4 linked regions of the Mus musculus genome follow. The protein of the gene in region 1 interacts with the protein of each later gene in a biochemical or structural test. Links are inferred from orthologs where the notes say so. Each region holds a gene or a part of one and is shown in the gene's direction. Other genes may lie near its edges.

Evidence for each region. The genes of interacting proteins can lie anywhere in the genome.
Region 2: of the proteins of Nup62 (region 1) and Ogt, one has a biochemical effect on the other in vitro, tested with the Homo sapiens proteins (2 studies listed by BioGRID). The link is inferred for Mus musculus from reciprocal best matches to the Homo sapiens genes NUP62 and OGT.
Region 3: the proteins of Nup62 (region 1) and Nxf1 form a complex in vitro, tested with the Homo sapiens proteins (3 studies listed by BioGRID and IntAct). The link is inferred for Mus musculus from reciprocal best matches to the Homo sapiens genes NUP62 and NXF1.
Region 4: the proteins of Nup62 (region 1) and Nutf2 form a complex in vitro, tested with the Homo sapiens proteins (3 studies listed by BioGRID). The link is inferred for Mus musculus from reciprocal best matches to the Homo sapiens genes NUP62 and NUTF2.

What each region holds. Positions count from the first base shown.
Region 1 is NC_000073.6:44,814,736-44,818,887, forward strand, and holds the start of Nup62 (nuclear pore glycoprotein p62), read left to right. Parts: upstream 1-1,352; 5' UTR 1,353-1,748; exon of another isoform or gene 1,749-1,923; intron 1,924-4,152. Other genes in the region: Atf5 (cyclic AMP-dependent transcription factor ATF-5), read right to left, coding at 254-431. UniProt on the Homo sapiens protein: Essential component of the nuclear pore complex. The N-terminal is probably involved in nucleocytoplasmic transport.
Region 2 is NC_000086.7:101,638,813-101,642,861, forward strand, and holds the start of Ogt (UDP-N-acetylglucosamine--peptide N-acetylglucosaminyltransferase 110 kDa subunit), read left to right. Parts: upstream 1-1,238; 5' UTR 1,239-1,473; coding exon 1,474-1,510; intron 1,511-4,049. UniProt on the Homo sapiens protein: Catalyzes the transfer of a single N-acetylglucosamine from UDP-GlcNAc to a serine or threonine residue in cytoplasmic and nuclear proteins resulting in their modification with a beta-linked N-acetylglucosamine (O-GlcNAc).
Region 3 is NC_000085.6:8,755,678-8,759,913, forward strand, and holds the start of Nxf1 (nuclear RNA export factor 1), read left to right. Parts: upstream 1-1,425; 5' UTR 1,426-1,554; coding exon 1,555-1,582; intron 1,583-4,236.
Region 4 is NC_000074.6:105,859,137-105,863,343, forward strand, and holds the start of Nutf2 (nuclear transport factor 2), read left to right. Parts: upstream 1-1,396; 5' UTR 1,397-1,569; exon of another isoform or gene 1,570-1,575; intron 1,576-1,738; exon of another isoform or gene 1,739-2,020; intron 2,021-4,207. UniProt on the Homo sapiens protein: Mediates the import of GDP-bound RAN from the cytoplasm into the nucleus which is essential for the function of RAN in cargo receptor-mediated nucleocytoplasmic transport.

The sequences.
Region 1 (4,152 bases):
AGATGTCATCTACTTAGAGGGGCTGACTTCTCAACTATGTCTTTCATCACTGTCCACTAAGCTTTGGTCTCCCACTTCTGTCTCCTGATGCACCCATGAGCTTAGGGATCCCTTGCTCGGAACCCTGCAGACCTAGAACAGTGTTGGGCACACTGCAGGCCCTCAGTACTGATCTTGTGAAGGAATAAATTCTTCCTTTTCTGTCCACCCCCACCCCCAGCTCAACCCACCTCTCTTCTTAACCTGTTCTTACCTGCCAGGGGCTCTCCCCCCCCTGGAAGCCCGCCCTCCAGGGCACCCCCAAGGACCTCATAGGGGCCCAGGGGGGCAGGGGCCAGGGGGAGTTTCCCATAGTCTACGAGCCAGCCCAGCCCGCTAGCTGGGAGCAGGGCCCTGTCCAGCTCCAGTCCCAGGGTCGCCAGGAGTGACATGGCTGTGACACAGGCACAGGGCAGCGACGGCAATGGAGGCTGCACCAACAATTGGGAGGCAGCGTGGAAGATTGTTCAGCTGGGTGAAGACAGGCACCAAGGCGAAGGTGGAGGACCTGTGAGGACAAGGGGACGTGGGTGGGATTGAGTCAAAGCGGCTTGACCCACAGGCTACACAGTTTCCTTCTTTCCGAAAATTTCAGCGCTCCACACATTCCCAGGGACATTATTGGAAACTCCCCTGCCCCATCTCCTCCCTCAACACAGAAACCTAGTGTTTTCCCAGGGGAATTACCTCTAGTCCCTCCTACCCACCTCATCTTATTCCTCTTCATAAAAATTTCAATCCCAAGGGAATTTCCTTCTAGCCGTGCCCCTTCCGCATCATTAGACTATACCCCCTTTAATCCACAGGGGTTCCCAGAATAATTCTGCATGCCTGGGCCCTTCATCAGTGTCACACACACAGATCCCGCTCTTCCCTTAAAAATTTTGGTGACTTCTAAAGATTCTACGGGAAGCTCCGCCCACCCTTCTGTCTGTCACAGTCAGTTCCCGTCCCCCACTAGCAAGTCCCTAGAGGCCCCGCCCCTGTAGTGCTAGTGCTAACTCTTTCTTAAAGGTGTTCCTAAAGCCTTTCCTGTCAGTTTAAGCCAGTCCCCGCCCCAGCAGGTGTCTGATTGGAGGGAAGTTGGGCCTGAGTCGGAGCCTCAAGCAAAACCCCACCCTTCCTCGCTGCTGGCTCGACTAGCGACGAGGCGCAAGCTCAGTCCCAGGACCCGATCCATTGTTACGCCACTACCCTCCTGGGGGACCAGTGCGCGTGTTTAGCCAATGACCGGCCGCCCGCCGTAGTTCAGGCCGGGGGTGGAGGGGTGGGGGGGTGGGGGAATAAGACAATGCGCATGCGCAACAGGTTGTGGGGTTGTCTCCTTGGAGGAAAAGGGGCAGAGGGTCTGTGAATTAGCGCGCAGGCGCAACGGCGCGCGAGCCGACCTTAAAAGCCCCCAAATTCTCCGGAAGCACGCCCTCCTCCTCCCCGCCCCTCGCAACTCGAGCCTAGTGCGCTTGCTCAGCGGATGCGCCGGCCGCCAGCTTCCCTCTTCTGCGCCTGCGCGACCGTGGTTCCTCACTTCGTCTCCCCCGCCCCCACCACGAGGCTGACCCGTGAAGCCCCGCGAGCTCTGAAAGGGCGGGAAAGGCAGTTGGCGAGGGAGGGGCGAGCGGTTACTCACTCCATGGCGGCGAAAAGGCGAGGAGGCAACGGCGGCGGCGGCCTCGGCTGAAGAGACGGTGTGAGCGGAGAGTGAAGGCGCGGTGAGCGCGGAGACGGGGGCGGGGGACACGACGGGGTCGCGGCTACAGAGCCATTGCGCGGGCGGAGGCGGCGTGGCGGGAGCGTTAAGGGAGACTGTGCTGAGAGGGTTGAAAATGAGGCGGCCCCGGGGCCTGGGGACAAATATACCGGGGGCGGCGCAGCGCGGGCTTGCCTGGATCCCTCCGCGCCCCGCCCTCGCGCGGCCCCGACGGGGCGGTGGCGACCCCGGGCCCGCCATGTCGCCCTGACCCTCCACTCTCTGCTTCAGGCTGGGGGCCCGGGCTCGGTCTCCTGAATCGGTCAGATCCGATGTGTCTTTCACACCCGAAACCAGCTCGTCTCGTTCTCTCTCCCTGCTTCACGAATTTGCCACCCGAGACCTCGTGGGTTAAGCCCATCGCCGAATGGCGCAAGCTAGCTTAGGCTTCATAGAGGAGTTCCAGGCAGCAACCGCGAGATAACGCTTCCCAAGTACTTGTAGAGCGCTGTATACGCGCACAGATATATCAGCTATGGAAAGTAGGCCACGAAGTCCTAACCACGAGACTCTTCAACATATTTTTGTTTGTTTTGTTTTAACATTTATTGTGGTGGTCAGAGGAGAGCTAGCAGGAGTTGGTTCTCTGACCATGTGAGTCCCAGGGACGGAACTCGGGTCAAACTATTTGGCAGCCTTTACCCACTGCTCAGTCATTGTATTTTCTTTTAGAAAAAAACCCTGACTTCACCTCTTTTACTCTCCCTACCCCAGATTCTTAGCCATATGATCGTTCTGTGTGTCCCACCTCCAAGGTTTCTGTTTCCAGCCATCCCTGCCGACCTCTAAGGTTTTGCCCTTGCTCTGACTTTCTTGCAGTCCTTGCTCTCTTGCTGACCCCACTAGATAATTATTTCTTGATCCTGTCCAAAATAGGACATTTATATTCCATTTAGTAAAAGAGTCCCTCTTGTCCTTCACCGGGGATGATGCGTGAACCCTGTTTTCTACCCCATGTTCATGTACATGGCTGGCATTCCATGTGAAAGTCAGTCAGTGTGTCATATTTGTAGCAGCTGAGAGACTGAATGGTTGGAGATAGAGCTCAAGAATGCTCGTCTGTTTTTAACACCAGAACCTTAGTCTCTGTCCAAGCACCACATGGATTGGGCTTGACTTGCCTGTATTCTCAGGATTTGGGAGATGGGAGAAAAGAAATCATGAGTTCAGGGTCATACTGACTGGCCTCAATGTGTTTTAAAAAGAAAAAGTCCAGAGGCCAGGCTTGATATCTCACCTACTTAGGAGGCTAAGACAGGAGTATTGAAAGTCAAGGTCAGGGCTGGAGCTGCTTTGAGATGGCTCTGGTGGTGATCTCTAAACTCAACCCTCCTGAGTTCCATCCTCAGGACCCACTTGGTAGAAGGACAAAAGCAACTCTAGACGGTTGTCCTCTGACCTCCACCACCTGTAGTGACAGGTCTACATACTGAGTAAGGGGAGGAAAAAAGCTCAAGGCTTGCCTTGACTAGAAAGTGAGTTCTTGGCTGTCTAGAGAACTTAACAAAGATCCTGATTTTAAAAAAATATGTAATGGGCTGGGGTTGGAGGTTGGTGGCAGAGTGTTGGCCAGAATACTGCTTTCCAGACTCTGGTGTCCATCCCTGGTACTGTAAAAGATTCAGAGCAGGTGGGGAATACTGATTTTGAAAGTTACAAGTCCTTGAGATAATTCCCCTTGGAATGGGCACTCTTTTTTTTTTTTTAGATTTTATTTATGTAAGTACACAGGTTCTCTTCAGACACACCAGAAGAGGGCATCAGATTCCATTGCAGATGGTTGTGAGCCACCATGTGGTTGCTCTGGAAAAGCAGTCAGTGCTCTGTAACACTGAGCCATCAGAGTGTGAATTCTTATCTTCTGCCAGTGTTTGAGCACAGGCGTGATTTGATGTGTTTAGACTCCAGCCCTCCCTTGCCAGCTATGGGCTTTGTTAAGTCCATGTGGAGTCTGCTACGAATACAGAAATGGGATGGACCCAGAGCTTCATGAACTGCATGCTAAATGGACATTCTACCACCTGAGCTGCATCCCTGGGCCCCACAGGTGCTGGTTTTTATTTGAAACATTGTGCCATGTTGCTGTGCCGGTGGTGCTCCTTTCCTTGAGTTTGGTATTTTAAAGTAAACTTTTGGAATAATCGAAAGGTTTCAAAGACAGTGCAGAGTGGGGGTACCAGCCCATAGTCTTCCCCATGGTACTTCTTTTTTCTTTCCTGAGGTCCTACCCAGATGCTTCCCCCGCCCTCAGATCCACCTTAACTCAAGAGCTGGTTTTCACATTTAGCTGCCATGCCCTCCCCAGCATGTGCACAGCCGTCACTTTATGGGAGTTGTGATCATCCCTGGAGGCCTGCCACCCTGAG
Region 2 (4,049 bases), on another chromosome or scaffold:
TTTTTACTACATGTTGTGGTTCTGTGGGGCAGAAGAAATGAACAATATTATCAACTTTTTCTGCACTCATAATCCAAAGTTCATAGGTTGTTTGGCAATCTCAAGAAACTGAAACAGCCTTTGAGGATTTGTTTTTTATTTCACCAAGGAGCTAGACAGCAAACATTTTTACACAAGCTCACTAATTTTTCCTAGATCAAAGAGTTTTGAAACGGAAAGACTCTAAGAGAGCTAACTGTAGTCCCCAGTGGCTTGTAATAATCACTTAGTGACGTGTCTTAAAACTGTCAAGGAACAAGGCAGGAAATATAAATTAATAACAATGTGACAAAAATGTCCAAACACTGGGCTTGAAACCGTAAGAGGATCCAAAGAGCTGTTTTGTCAAAGGAAGGCAATTGGAAATTCATTGTAGTTGTGTGGTTTAGGAAGAAGGCAAAGGAACACAGTTTGCTTTGTTGAATTGCCTTAAGCTCCAAGGCATTTGCAGTCCTTAATGATTCTGACGAAACAAGGTCACAATTCAGGATCAGGAATTTTGAGGAAAAAGGCATCCTCTTTAACATTTCTGTGGTTGCTTTTGACATGCAAACTCCTAGCATTTACCCTGTTACCATCCCGAATCTCACAAACGATTTTGAATTTTAGGGTTATATGGTTCAAATCGAACACATTTGGGTTCACTCAGCTCAGGGAGACTGTCCGTTTTTCTCATCAAAGTACTTAAATTCATGGGTGGAGTCTGAATCAAAAAGCATTCAAATCGAACCGGCTCCCCCATTGTTTTGAACAGCCCCGTCTCTGAAACGCAAATATTCGCGTTTACTTGCTTAGAACTAACACGTTGGTCGTGTAAACTACCCTTTTCTGTTGAATGGAGTTAATTAAACTTTTCTAGACGCTCTGACATTCTAACATCGACATCACTGACCAGGTAGTAGACTCGTACTTTAGCGCTTGCCAAAAAAAAAAAAAAAAAAAAAAAAAAAAAAAGTAATCGACGGGCGTTTTTTGCCCTTCCGCCTTGCTCTTAAAAACTTGCTGGCTCTTGCCCCATAGGGAGCCCTTAACCCGGAGTTGCCTAGACAGGGTTGTCGCATGCGCTCTCTACAGTCATGTTTGTCGCAATGGACCTTGGGCGGAAGGTTACGTAAGAGCAAATGACTTTGATTACAGTCACTTGGTCGGTAGTCTTGTTACGCGCTACCTCCGCGGGGTACTTGATTATAACAGAAAGTAGTTCCGGCTTGTGTTGTTTCGGTCGAGGAGCCCTCGCCGCCATTTCAAGACAGTGAGAGGTAGATGTCTACCAAGAGTTCCTAAGATTCGAGTTCAGTATTCTGTGCCGCCCCCTGAGCCCTTCAAAACACTGATACGGCTGCTGCCTTTTTTCTGCTACTTCTAGAACCATTCTTGTCAGTAGTGGCGGCAGTAGAAGTCAATTACCCCTTGTTCTATCTCAAGAAGCTCCAGATGGCGTCTTCCGTGGGCAACGTGGCCGACAGTACAGGTACTAGTGTCCCATTCTACTCTGGCAGACGTCCCTTTGGGGTCTGGCGCCGTCTTGTATCTTTCATTACTTCCCTCTGACCATCCCCATTACATCAGTGGCATTACTGAGCTCTCGAGTTCTACTGCTATCTGATCGGGTTTGGTGCTGCCGTCCGTTCGTAAACATTCTCTAGTTGCTTGCTTGCATTTTGCTTGCTTTGGGGGCTTTTTCGTTGTTGCTTTATCCCATCAGTGTTGTAGCCTTCTCTCTCGGGACGAATCTATAGCACACGTGCGCGCTTAGTGTGTCTTGGAATGGGCTGCATTGGAATCTCTGCAATTTCTGTCTCCCGTCGCAACTGTTTTCTCCCTCAATTTCAGCCCGTCGCTCCCTCCCGTGCGCTTCCACCTCCTCCCCAAAGCCCCTTTCCCTTAGCCACATTTGGTCCTCCTTTGCCAGGCTAGGGCGGGGATGCTATTTCGGTGTAATCCTAGCCTCACTTTGCATCAGGCATGACTAGCGAAGGCTCCTCGGTGTGCTTCCAAGTAGCACCAAGAAGAGCTACTTGAGCCCGCACCCCGCCGGGGCAGCGCCTTGTGTTCTTGGGTTGAGCGGCCCCGATTTAGGTTGGAAATTTCCAGGGGTTCTCTTAGCCATCACCCAATTGCACCCGCTGCCCCAGTACGGAGTTTCCTACCCTGGTCAGCCCTCCCTGCTTGTTGCAACCACACCCTTCCTCTGCGAACGTGCCAGCCCGACAGTCGTTTCTTATCCTCAGGGAAGAAACCACCTCGGTGTGTTGCTTGGCGGCGACCACCCTGCCCGCCCTCCTAATTCTCTTTCTTTGTGTTACTTTCTCTATGTATTCCTCCGCCATGGCCTCTGGGTTTTCATCCCCATTCTTTAGCCCAGTATCTCTTTATCCATAGGGTGTGCATTATTATTTCTTTTTTAAGTTTCCATCCTTGCTTGAAGAGTTTGTAAAGCAACTGGAGTGTAGCTGCACAAGTGCAAAGCGGTTGCCTCTTTTCAACGATGCATCTCCAAGCCTTTGCTACAGAAAATAAGAAAACAACCAAATTGTAGGAGTGTCCTTCAACTGCCTTTCCAGATTGAGGCTGTTTGGGGCGGGAGGGGATGGGGAACCAGGCTGCAGCTCTAAGGTTCCCGAGAGGTTATTGTTTCTCAGTGTCTAGGTTTTAGTTGACGATTTTGAATATTGTGAGATAAATAGATGACTCTAAAATAGTATCTCATCCTTAATAGATGGGAATGGGATCAAGATTTCCACCTTTCTGTTTCCCCATCATGATTTTCAAAAATGTAAGATTCTGTCGTAGGTTTTTGTAAGAACTTGCTCTTTTCTGACTGTTAACTTTATTTGAAGAAATGGTCATTTCCAGTATTAAAAGAGCAGATATGTGACTTTGGAAAGTGATAGGTAATGTGCTAAATTTAGGAGCTAGAAAGTGCTACGTTCTTGTCTAACATGTAATTTTCTAGTTGATCTTCTAGCTCCAACCTCAGATTTGGACACAAATATTTTTGGTCTTTGTTTTTGTGGTTAGCTGTGCAGAAATTGCTCTGGTATGGGAAAGCCTGGCTCAAATTTGAGCTTGTCCCCATGACCTTGGTTAAAATTAAGTACCAGGTCTGTGGTTTCCCATTCTAATCTCTAGAGTGTTATCCTTGAATTCCTAATAATGAATTATTGTGGAGATAAATGTTTACAGCCGAGCCTTAGGCGAGCACCTGGATTTTGGCTTTTATTATGTTAACTAAATCAAGTCCTTCAGAACAAAAGCATTTTTTGTTATTTATTATATTTTATCCCGTGTTTTATATTATTGCAGCATTTAAAAGCTTTTCCAATTGTAGATTGTTGCCTGGTTATTGAATAGGGTTGTTTTTAATGTCTTAGTACTTCTGTGAGAGCCATGAACACAGCAGAAAATGTAAGGCAGCGTGGGTGGGATTTAGCTAATTTGGGCTCCTGAGTCCTCTCCAGAAGAGGAACAACGTTTGGGTTTTTTGTTTAAAATGTTTGGCGAACCCATTATGAAATGCTTTAGCCCTTGACTGCTAAGTCATCTTGTTTATCAGCTGCTTGCTTTAAAAGTAACTCTTTGGCTTTCAGCCGGTTTCTTTAGGCTGGCTCTTTTTAAAAAAGAAAGCTGTAAAACTCACAAACATCAATATAAAGAGTTAAAGAGACACCTGGTGTCCCCACCCACACCGAGAGAGTTAGAATACACTCCACCTTGAAATGTGAGATGAAGTATTGTTAAGCGATAGGTTATTCTGACAATAAATCCTTGTAACTTCTGCAGATTTCATGTTTAATGTTTTGTGTCAGTATACTAAGTTTAGTGATTTTAGTGAATCTTCCTATGATTTGTAAGAAAAAGTACAAAATGTAAGAAAGGAATCTTTTCTGGAAGTCAATATTACTATGGGGTTTAGAAAAGGAAGCATTAACAATGGGCAGATTTGAAAGAGATCAATTCTGTAGACTGGGTTTTAAATAAAATGCAGAACACTCTGGTGCTTTACATAG
Region 3 (4,236 bases), on another chromosome or scaffold:
ACTTCAGCAAAAAGCTAACCACTGCCCAATACCAGAACCAAAAGGGTTAAGTCAGTGACTCTGATGGGCCCCTACTGATAGGCAGGGTAGCTCCGGAGCTCTGTACACACAACTCCCCCCTAGAAGCGAGTAGCCAAGTACAGCAGCACTTCATAAGAGTTTTCCTTTGGACTAAGTGGGTTCATAATTGGGCGGCAACTTCCAAGACAGTACCCATAAGTTTGAGCCTGTTTTGTATCTTCAAATCAAGTCATGCTCCATGCCTACCAGCACCCCATCTGCTTCCCCCTCCCACAGCAGCATCTGGATCCAAGGCTGCAATAGTCCTAGCCACACCAGAAAAGTTTCCTAGAGCTCTTGGGTTTGACATTAAAGTTTCAGTCAACACTTGGGAGTTGGAAGCAGGTGAATTTCTTGAGTTTGTGGCCAACTTGGTCTACAAAGCAAGTTTCACAGAAACCCTGTTTCAAGAAACAAAACCCAAAACTAGCAACTTTCCCTAGCTACCTACCTAGCTGACCTGGGTCTACCAATTAGGCTTCAGTATGACAGACTGAGTGAAGTGAAGATCAAGGCTTAAGGCTCACTAGATCCCTGATTTTGTTTTGAGATGGTCTATGTAGTGTTCCCTATCTCTGAACTGGACAAAGTATTGATAGTAAGACTAAAGCTTTTTTATTTTATTTTATTATTTTATTTTTTTTGGAGGAAGGGTCTCTACATAGCTCTGGCTGTTCTAGAAATTTCTATAGAGCCAAGACTGGCCTCAAACTCAAAGATCTGCCTGCCTCTGCCTTCCAAATGCTGGGTTTAAAGACCTGCTCCACTACACCCGACTTGACTTTTTTTTTCATTAGTCAATTTAAAAGACCTTTTTTCATTAGTCAATTTAAAAACCTACGAAGGACAGGATTTCGTTTAATTCACACTTGGGTTTCACACTGGGCATGATACTGTGCTGGAGGAAGAAAAGTTCGCATTAGTTAAGGTTCCTGCTCCAGTGGGGCTTACATTCCAATTTTCTATTTCGTCATAATTCGTCGTGGAGATGAGAAAAGCTAAGAGGGCATAGGCCAGCGGCTGGCAAGGAACTGAGCTGCGACTTACTCGCTGCCGGGATCCCACCGGCGGGGACTGTGGGCCGTTACTCCCGTTCAGAGGCCAGGTCTCCATTCTTGTGTGTAGCCCTCGACCCTGCTCCTCTTGAGTTCAGTGCTAACGCAGAGGGTTTAGCTCCGGGACCGGGCCAGCGAAGAAATAGGAAGGCGGGGCCGGCCGATAGGCCATCCGGCCGGAGCTCCGGCCGTGGGCGGGCCTCGGAGGGCCTGGCCACGCCCCCGAGCGGCCGCCCTGCTTCTGCGCAGGCTCAGAGAGCGCGTTCACGTCCCGCGGCACCGCCCACATCCTGGGGACGTCGGCGGCGCGCGACGTGCTTCGCCGGATAAATGCGGTGGCGCCGGTCGTAGGAGAGATTCTGTCCTGAGCGCTAAGGCTCCTTGGCGTTTGGTGGCGTCAGGTTCTGCGCCTGAGCCCGCCCCTGTACCTGCCTGTGCCATGGCGGACGAAGGGAAGTCATACAACGGTCAGTGCGGGGCCTCGGGCCGGGAGGCGACGCGGTGGGTTGGGGTGGGCGGCCCTGGCCTAGGCCTCAGCCCGGGGGCGGGAGGCCGCGAGGAGCCCTACGTCCGTAGGTAGCGGTGGCCGCGCGGGCAGGGGGCGCGGGGCGCCGCGGGACCCAGGGGCTCCAGAGTCGCCCGGATTCAGGCGTTGGAGAACCTGTGGCTCAGGGGTGGGGTGACAAGATTCCTTTCAACTTTGAGGGTGGTTGATGCCTGTCAGTTCAGTTTGGCGGCCCGACTCTTCCTTTAAATGTGAGTCAGTAGTCGCTTGGTCGTGGGCTACCCTGGTGCCCTATTTTTCTTTTTCTTTTTGTGATACGATCAGTCTGTTCTTGTAGCTTGCTGCTTATTGTTTATCAAATTTCTAGTCGGAACACCTATCCTGACATGTTAATTCATTGTGGTGGTTAGGACACTATGACAGCTGAGGTTTGAATCTGGAGTTGGCTGTACTAAACCCGAGTGAGTTAAACTTTCAGGCCTTGTTTTCCGCCTCTTTCATGTGGGTACCTGTCTCCCAAGTTTGTGTGCATGTGCGTGTGCGTTTGTGTGCGTATGAAATAATTTCTACCAAGTGCCTAGAACACAGTAACTGGAGTGGGAATTTTCTTCCGTGAACCGTAGTTTCACTGTCTCTTAATGTATTCCTTTTTACTAGGGTTGCTTGGAGAGGATCGTTGTTTAGAGGATGCTAGATATTAGGTGGATTTCTTTGAAAGTTATACCTTTTTTGTATTTGTGTAATACTGATGATTTATCCAGGCCTGAAAAATAGCTACCCAATGAACCTTTATTTTAATTCAAATATAATTACTTGGTCTCCTTTCTCTAGCCATTCCCATTGTCAACTCTCTCCCCAAATTCATCCAACATGCAGAGCCCATTTAGTGTTAATGTGTATATATTTGTTTCTAAAGCTTACCATTTGGGATTGGATAACCATTTAGGGAATTCATCCCTAGGGAAGGCTAATTCTCCCTTACAGGGTCAGCCCTAGTATCCCAGGCTGGCCTCAGTCAGTCTCCCTGTGTCAGCTTCCCAAGTTCGGTATTGCATAGACTTTTACTTTTTTTTGGGGGGGTTGGGCTCCTAGAGTTAAACTCAAGGTCTGGCAAAAAGGAAAATAAATAGAACCAAGTGTAGTAGTGCACTGTTTAAGGTAAGAGGATCAGAGGTTCCAGGTCATTCCCTGTGTGCCAGGCCTTCTGTTCTCCCACAGAGCTATAGACAAGGAAGGATGAAAATCCCTTGTTTTTTCGAGACAGGGTTTCTCTGTGTAGCCCTGGCTGTCCTGGAACTCACTTTGTAGACCAGGCTGGCCTTGAACTCGGAAATCCGCCTGCCTCTGCCTCCCAAGTGCTGGGATTAAAGGCATGCGCCACCAGGCCCGGCTGTTATTTTTTTGAGATGGTTCACCAAGTTGTCCAGACTGACTTGAAGTTTCAAATTCTGCCTCAGCCTGGGTGGTGTGTGTGTGTGTGTGAAGGATAGGATAGGCAAGCACATTGTCAACTGGGCTATATCCTCAGCCCTCCTTTTATTTGTTTTGTCTACATATATGCAGACCACCCACTAAGAGAGACAGGTCTCAATCCTGGTCTGGCCTTGAACTCTGTAGTTCCAATCCTCTTCTTAAACAGTGTACTACCACACTTGGTTGGCTTGTTTGTTTATTAATTTATTTATTGAAACAGTGTGTCAATGAGTAGTTCTCTCTGTTCTAGAACTCAATGAGTAGACCATGCTGGCATTCAAAACTCAACAGTTCTCTGCCTGCCACTGTCTGGGAATAAAGATATGGGCCACTGTGTTTGGCTTCTTCCCCTTTTTAAGGCAGGGTTTTAGCTTATCTGGAACTCGGAATCCTCCTGCTTCAAACAATGGTTATATTGGAGAACATTCCCTACCTCCTTACTGTGGAACCTGCACCAGTCCCTGAATCAATAAGTCCCTCGAGGTGCAGGCTATTTTTGCTCAAAGAAACTAGCATTTCCCAAGTTCCGAGTGCAGGAGATGGTAGTTGTTTTTTGGGTTTTGTTTTGTTTTGTTTTGTTTTTCGAGACAGAGTTTCTCTGTGTAGCTCTGGCTGTCCTGGAACTCACTCTGTAGACCAGGCTGGCCTCGAACTCAGAAATCCGCCTGCCTCTGCCTCCCGAGTGCTGGGATTAAAGGAGTGCGCCACCACTGCCCGGCGGTAGTTGTTTTTAGGAGACTTTAAATACGTCCTATTTGTAAGAATTTTTTTATTTTTTGGGATAGAATCTCATGTAGCCCAGCATAGCTTTGATTTCTTGTGTAATTGAAGCCTCCATTTCCCAATTGCCAGGATTGCAGGTGGTGGCCATAACATCTGGTTCTGTGACCATCAACTGTACACATAAGCAAAAGAATATGCAAGTGGCAGATTTTAGGTGGTTTTCAGGAATCTGGTTATATTTTGGGGTTGCCCATACTTCCACATTTTAGTTTTCTTTGTAGGATCTGGTTTCTGGGTGGTTTTGGTTTTCTTTTTTCTTTAAATTCTAAGGTTTTTTTTGGGGGGGGGTAATTTTATACATGTACACAGTTGTAATTGTATTCACCTTTCATTACTCTTTTTTATTTTTACATATTTGTT
Region 4 (4,207 bases), on another chromosome or scaffold:
ACATTCCTTGGATCCTTCATCCTGTCTCATGATTTGCTTGTGTTTTGTTTTCTTGGTGGGGTCAGGCTCCTGATGTGTCGCCAACAGGGTAACATGGAGTTCTTAGTGACCAAGCAAAGTGGTCTGGATAGACAGAGGATTTTTTTTCTCTTTTTTTTTTTTTTTTGGTTTGTTTTGTTTTTCGAGACAGGGTTTCTCTGTCTCCTGGAAGTCCTGGAGCTCACTCTTTAGACCAGGCTGGCCTTGAACTCAGAAATCTGCTGTCTCTGCCTCCCAAGTGCAGAGATTAAAGGCACGTGCCACCACTGCCCAGTTTAGACAGGGGCTTTAATCAAGAAGCTTAGCCTGGTTTTATCAGTCATCTCCAGGAGGTGGGGTGAGGCTAAGAGGGCAAAACAGAAGTATTAAAGAGTCTTCTGACTAGGAAGATAGGGGTGTTTGCAGCCATTTTCCTTTTCTGTGGTTCTGTGGGTTGGTAGCAGAGCCATTTGCCCAGCACAGGCGGGACGGAGAGGCGTTACTTCAAATATTTGTGTCACCCAGGAAACTGAAAAGGATATTGAAAGTAAAGGGGAAGGGGTGGGAAGATTATTTACAGTCTGGCCATTTAGGAAAATTACGTTTCGCCAGTTATCTTTCAATAAAAATTAAAGTTGGAAGGTGAGCTGGCTCCGTGGGTCGCTAAACCTGAGAGAATCTGATTTCAAGGCCCCCATGGTGGAAGAACTGACTCCAGAAAGCTGCTTCTCTCCTCCACACCCATGTCGTGGCTCATCCCTCCTCAACACAAATAAACAAACAAAAATAGTTGCCCTGTCTGCTCCAACAAAACAAGTAAACCTGGAAATCAAAAAAAGAAAACCCTCACGATTCTGTTTTTAAAAATACCTCTCTGTACACGTGAGGTTAACCTCTCCAACTATGGGCCCACCTTAGATGAGTGTTTAGAGTTTCAATAAAAACCTAGTTACCTTCCAACCAACTTTGGGATAAGTGGCTTCCTCTGAGACACAGCTAACTCATTGAACAAGAGAGGAGTGGGTTTCGCCCCCGTGGGTTGATGCTAGAGGAGCAGAGCTGGTAGCCAGGGCGCCTAAAGGGAGTAGGCTTTGGACTAGGGGCCTAGGGAGGGGCTGCTGGGACAAGCCAGCCAGCTCCAAGCTAAACCAGGCTCCCATGGAGGCGGGGTCAGGCTCCATAGGCCACATACACTTAGGCGGGGCCAAGCCAGCTGGGACCCAGCTACAACCGAGACCTGATCCTTGCCTGGCGCCAACTCCGTGTTCCAGAGGCTTCCGCTAGACCACAATTCTCAGGGGCTCACCCGGACCGCCTCCCTCCCTAACTTAGCCTCTCCTCCCGCGCTGCGAGCCGTGGCTGCGCCTCTGCGAATGGCATTCTGGGAAATGTAGTTCTAGCTAAGCTCACTAAGGCGTATAAGGAGCATACTGGGACTACGTTTCCCTGAGTGCAGCGGGACGGGCGAGGGAAGGCAAGGGGGAAGGGACAGTCGGTCGCAGACCGCGCTGGGTTGCCGCCGCCGCTGCCGCCATCGTGCCAGCCCCACGGGTGAGTGTTGGGGCCAGCGCTCCGGGGCGGGGGCTGGGCCGCAGGAGCCGCGCTCTAGGCCGCCGGGAGCTTCTGCTTCGAGGCCCTGGGAGGCCCCTCCCCTCTTCACACCCCCACGGCGGCCCGAAGAGGCACGGGGCCCGCACCATGTGTCGCGCGCGGCTCCGCCTACCGCGGATTGTCTGCGGCCGCGGCCCGGGGAATGCTGAGAGCCTGATGGACGGCTGTCCGGGCCACCCTGTGTCTTGGCTGATGGCCAGATCTTTTTCTTTTGTCCGGACGATCAGGATAGCTCTCAGGGCCCGGCCCTGTGTGGCCTTGCCTGGCTTGCTCGAATCCTGCAACCTCTGCAGGCAGGTTGGCGGGCCGATCCCAGACCCACGTCCCACCACCCGCCGGCGAAGATCCGGGGATGGGCAACGCCACCCAGCTCGCTCCAGAGCCAGCATGGGTAAGGGTGGCCCTCCTGCCGCTGCTGGGGCTTGGGACCATTGCCCGGTTCCAAACCATAGCCCGGCTAGGATGTAGGTGAACGCTTCTCTGCTTGATTGCCTGCTGGGAGTGCACGAAACTTAACCTCTACCTCGGTAGAACCGGTGCTGCAGTGTCCAGCATGGAGGACAAGGGCAGGGATTCTGGGGTGGGAGGGGATGCCTCGTGGGACTTTACCTCTAGCTAGTCCTGGAAAATAAGGACCTAGTATCTTTGGAGAGGCAGCTCCAATCTTATCCATGACTAGACTCCAGCTCTGGGGTGGGTTGTGTGAGCCTCCAGTGTTTTTGTTAGATTTCTCAGTCAGGGCCCAATTCTAAAGTACGTTAGAACCTCCTAGAGTTAGCAGGAAGATGACTCCTTACTGAAGTGATGAGGTCGGATTTAATTCATGAAGAAATGGACTCCATGCTTGAGGTTTTTGAGCCCAGAGAAGGTGGAAGGGGCCTTGTGCCTATGGCACTGGCTTAGACTGTTTTTGCCTTTTGAAGTTGTTTTGTAGATCTAGAACTAGAAGTCACGATGTCTGCTTTCTCTTCACGTGTGCTAGGGCTGCCTGTGAACAGTCAAGAAGCTGGATGGGTCTAGAGAAAGTACCTTAGCAATGGCACCTCAGGTCATCCATCACCTTGAATTCCTGGAGATGTAGTGTATTTGACTAGTTACTAGTAGGCAGGCTTTGAGAATGCACTTCTGTTTTGAGTGATGATTAGGAACTAGTGGAGAAAAGCTCCCAGGACTTGGCAGAAAGCATCTCTTGTCAGGTTGAATTCTCTGGTCTGTTGCTGGCTTCTGTGTCACAGTTCTTAAAAGGCCTAAGAGGTCCCAGAGACCTGGGCAAGCAGAGTGCCCAGTCTCTTAGGATGACTGACTTAGGGCCAGAAAGCTGAAAGCCACTATCTTTAGCGCCCCCTGCTCCCTGAATATTTCCTCAGTACTGTTGCTCTGGCTTTCACTTGATTTTTTTTTTCCCCCTCCAGTACAGTTCTCTGTCCAGTCATTCTCCCTAGTCAAAGGCCACAAGCAAATTGCTCAGCTCTCACCAGGGCCTACCTTCTATGGACTGACTCAGCTTCTTAATCTCTATTATAGCTGTTAAGCACATGGAAGTAAGGCTTAGCCAATAGGCTCTGGAGAGACTCCCTGGTGTGCTAAGCTAAGCAGTTGGGAAGGACTATCCACAGAACATAAAAGGTCAAAGAAGTAGGAGCCACTTGGAACTAAAAGCAGCTATTTCCACACTTTTTTTGGAGACAGGGATGTAACTCAGTTGATAGATTTCTTGTTTGATCACTAGCACTGAATAAACTGGGTATGGTGGTACAAGCTTGCAGTCCAGTTTACTTACCTACCATCATAGAGGTAGGAACATGAGGATCACAAGTTACATCTTCAGCTGCATGGGAAATTCAAGGTCAGCCTGGGATACATGAGACCCCGCCTCAAAGAACTAAAACCAACTCCAGCTTGTCTCAGTTTTAGATGAGTTGTGTTTATGGCTGTAGATCAGCTTGCATATTCCAAGCTTTTGGGTGGTGTGTGCAGAGGAGATATCTCTCTCCCTCTCCCTCTCCCCTCTTTTCATAGTGCTGGGTAGGAATCAAACCTTAACTTTATAAACACTAGGCTATGTATACTTTTGCATCTTCAGGATCAAAAAGATAGTGTTCAAGAAATTTGGGTTTCTCCTTATTCCTTAAAAGTTCTCAGGAATGGCTCAGTGGGTAAGAGCACCCGACTGCTCTTCCGAAGGTTCAGAGTTCAAATCCCAGCAACCACATGGTGGCTCACAACCATCCATAACAAGATCTGACACCCTCTTCTGGATTGTCTGAAGACAGCTACAGTGTACTTACATATAATAAATAAATGAATCTTTAAAAAAAAAAAAAAAAAAAAAAAAAAAAGTTCTCAGGAGCCAGGAGGTGGTGGCGCACGCCTTTAATCCCAGCACTCGGGAGGCAGAGGCAGGCGGATTTCTGAGTTCGAGGCCAGCCTGGTCTACAGAGTGAGTTCCAGGACAGCCAGGGCTATACAGAGAAACCCTGTCTCGGAAAAACCAAAATAAATAAATTAGTTAATTAATTAAAATGTAAATGGTGACATATGCCTGTAGTCCTAGCACTTGTGAGACTGAAGGGGTGAT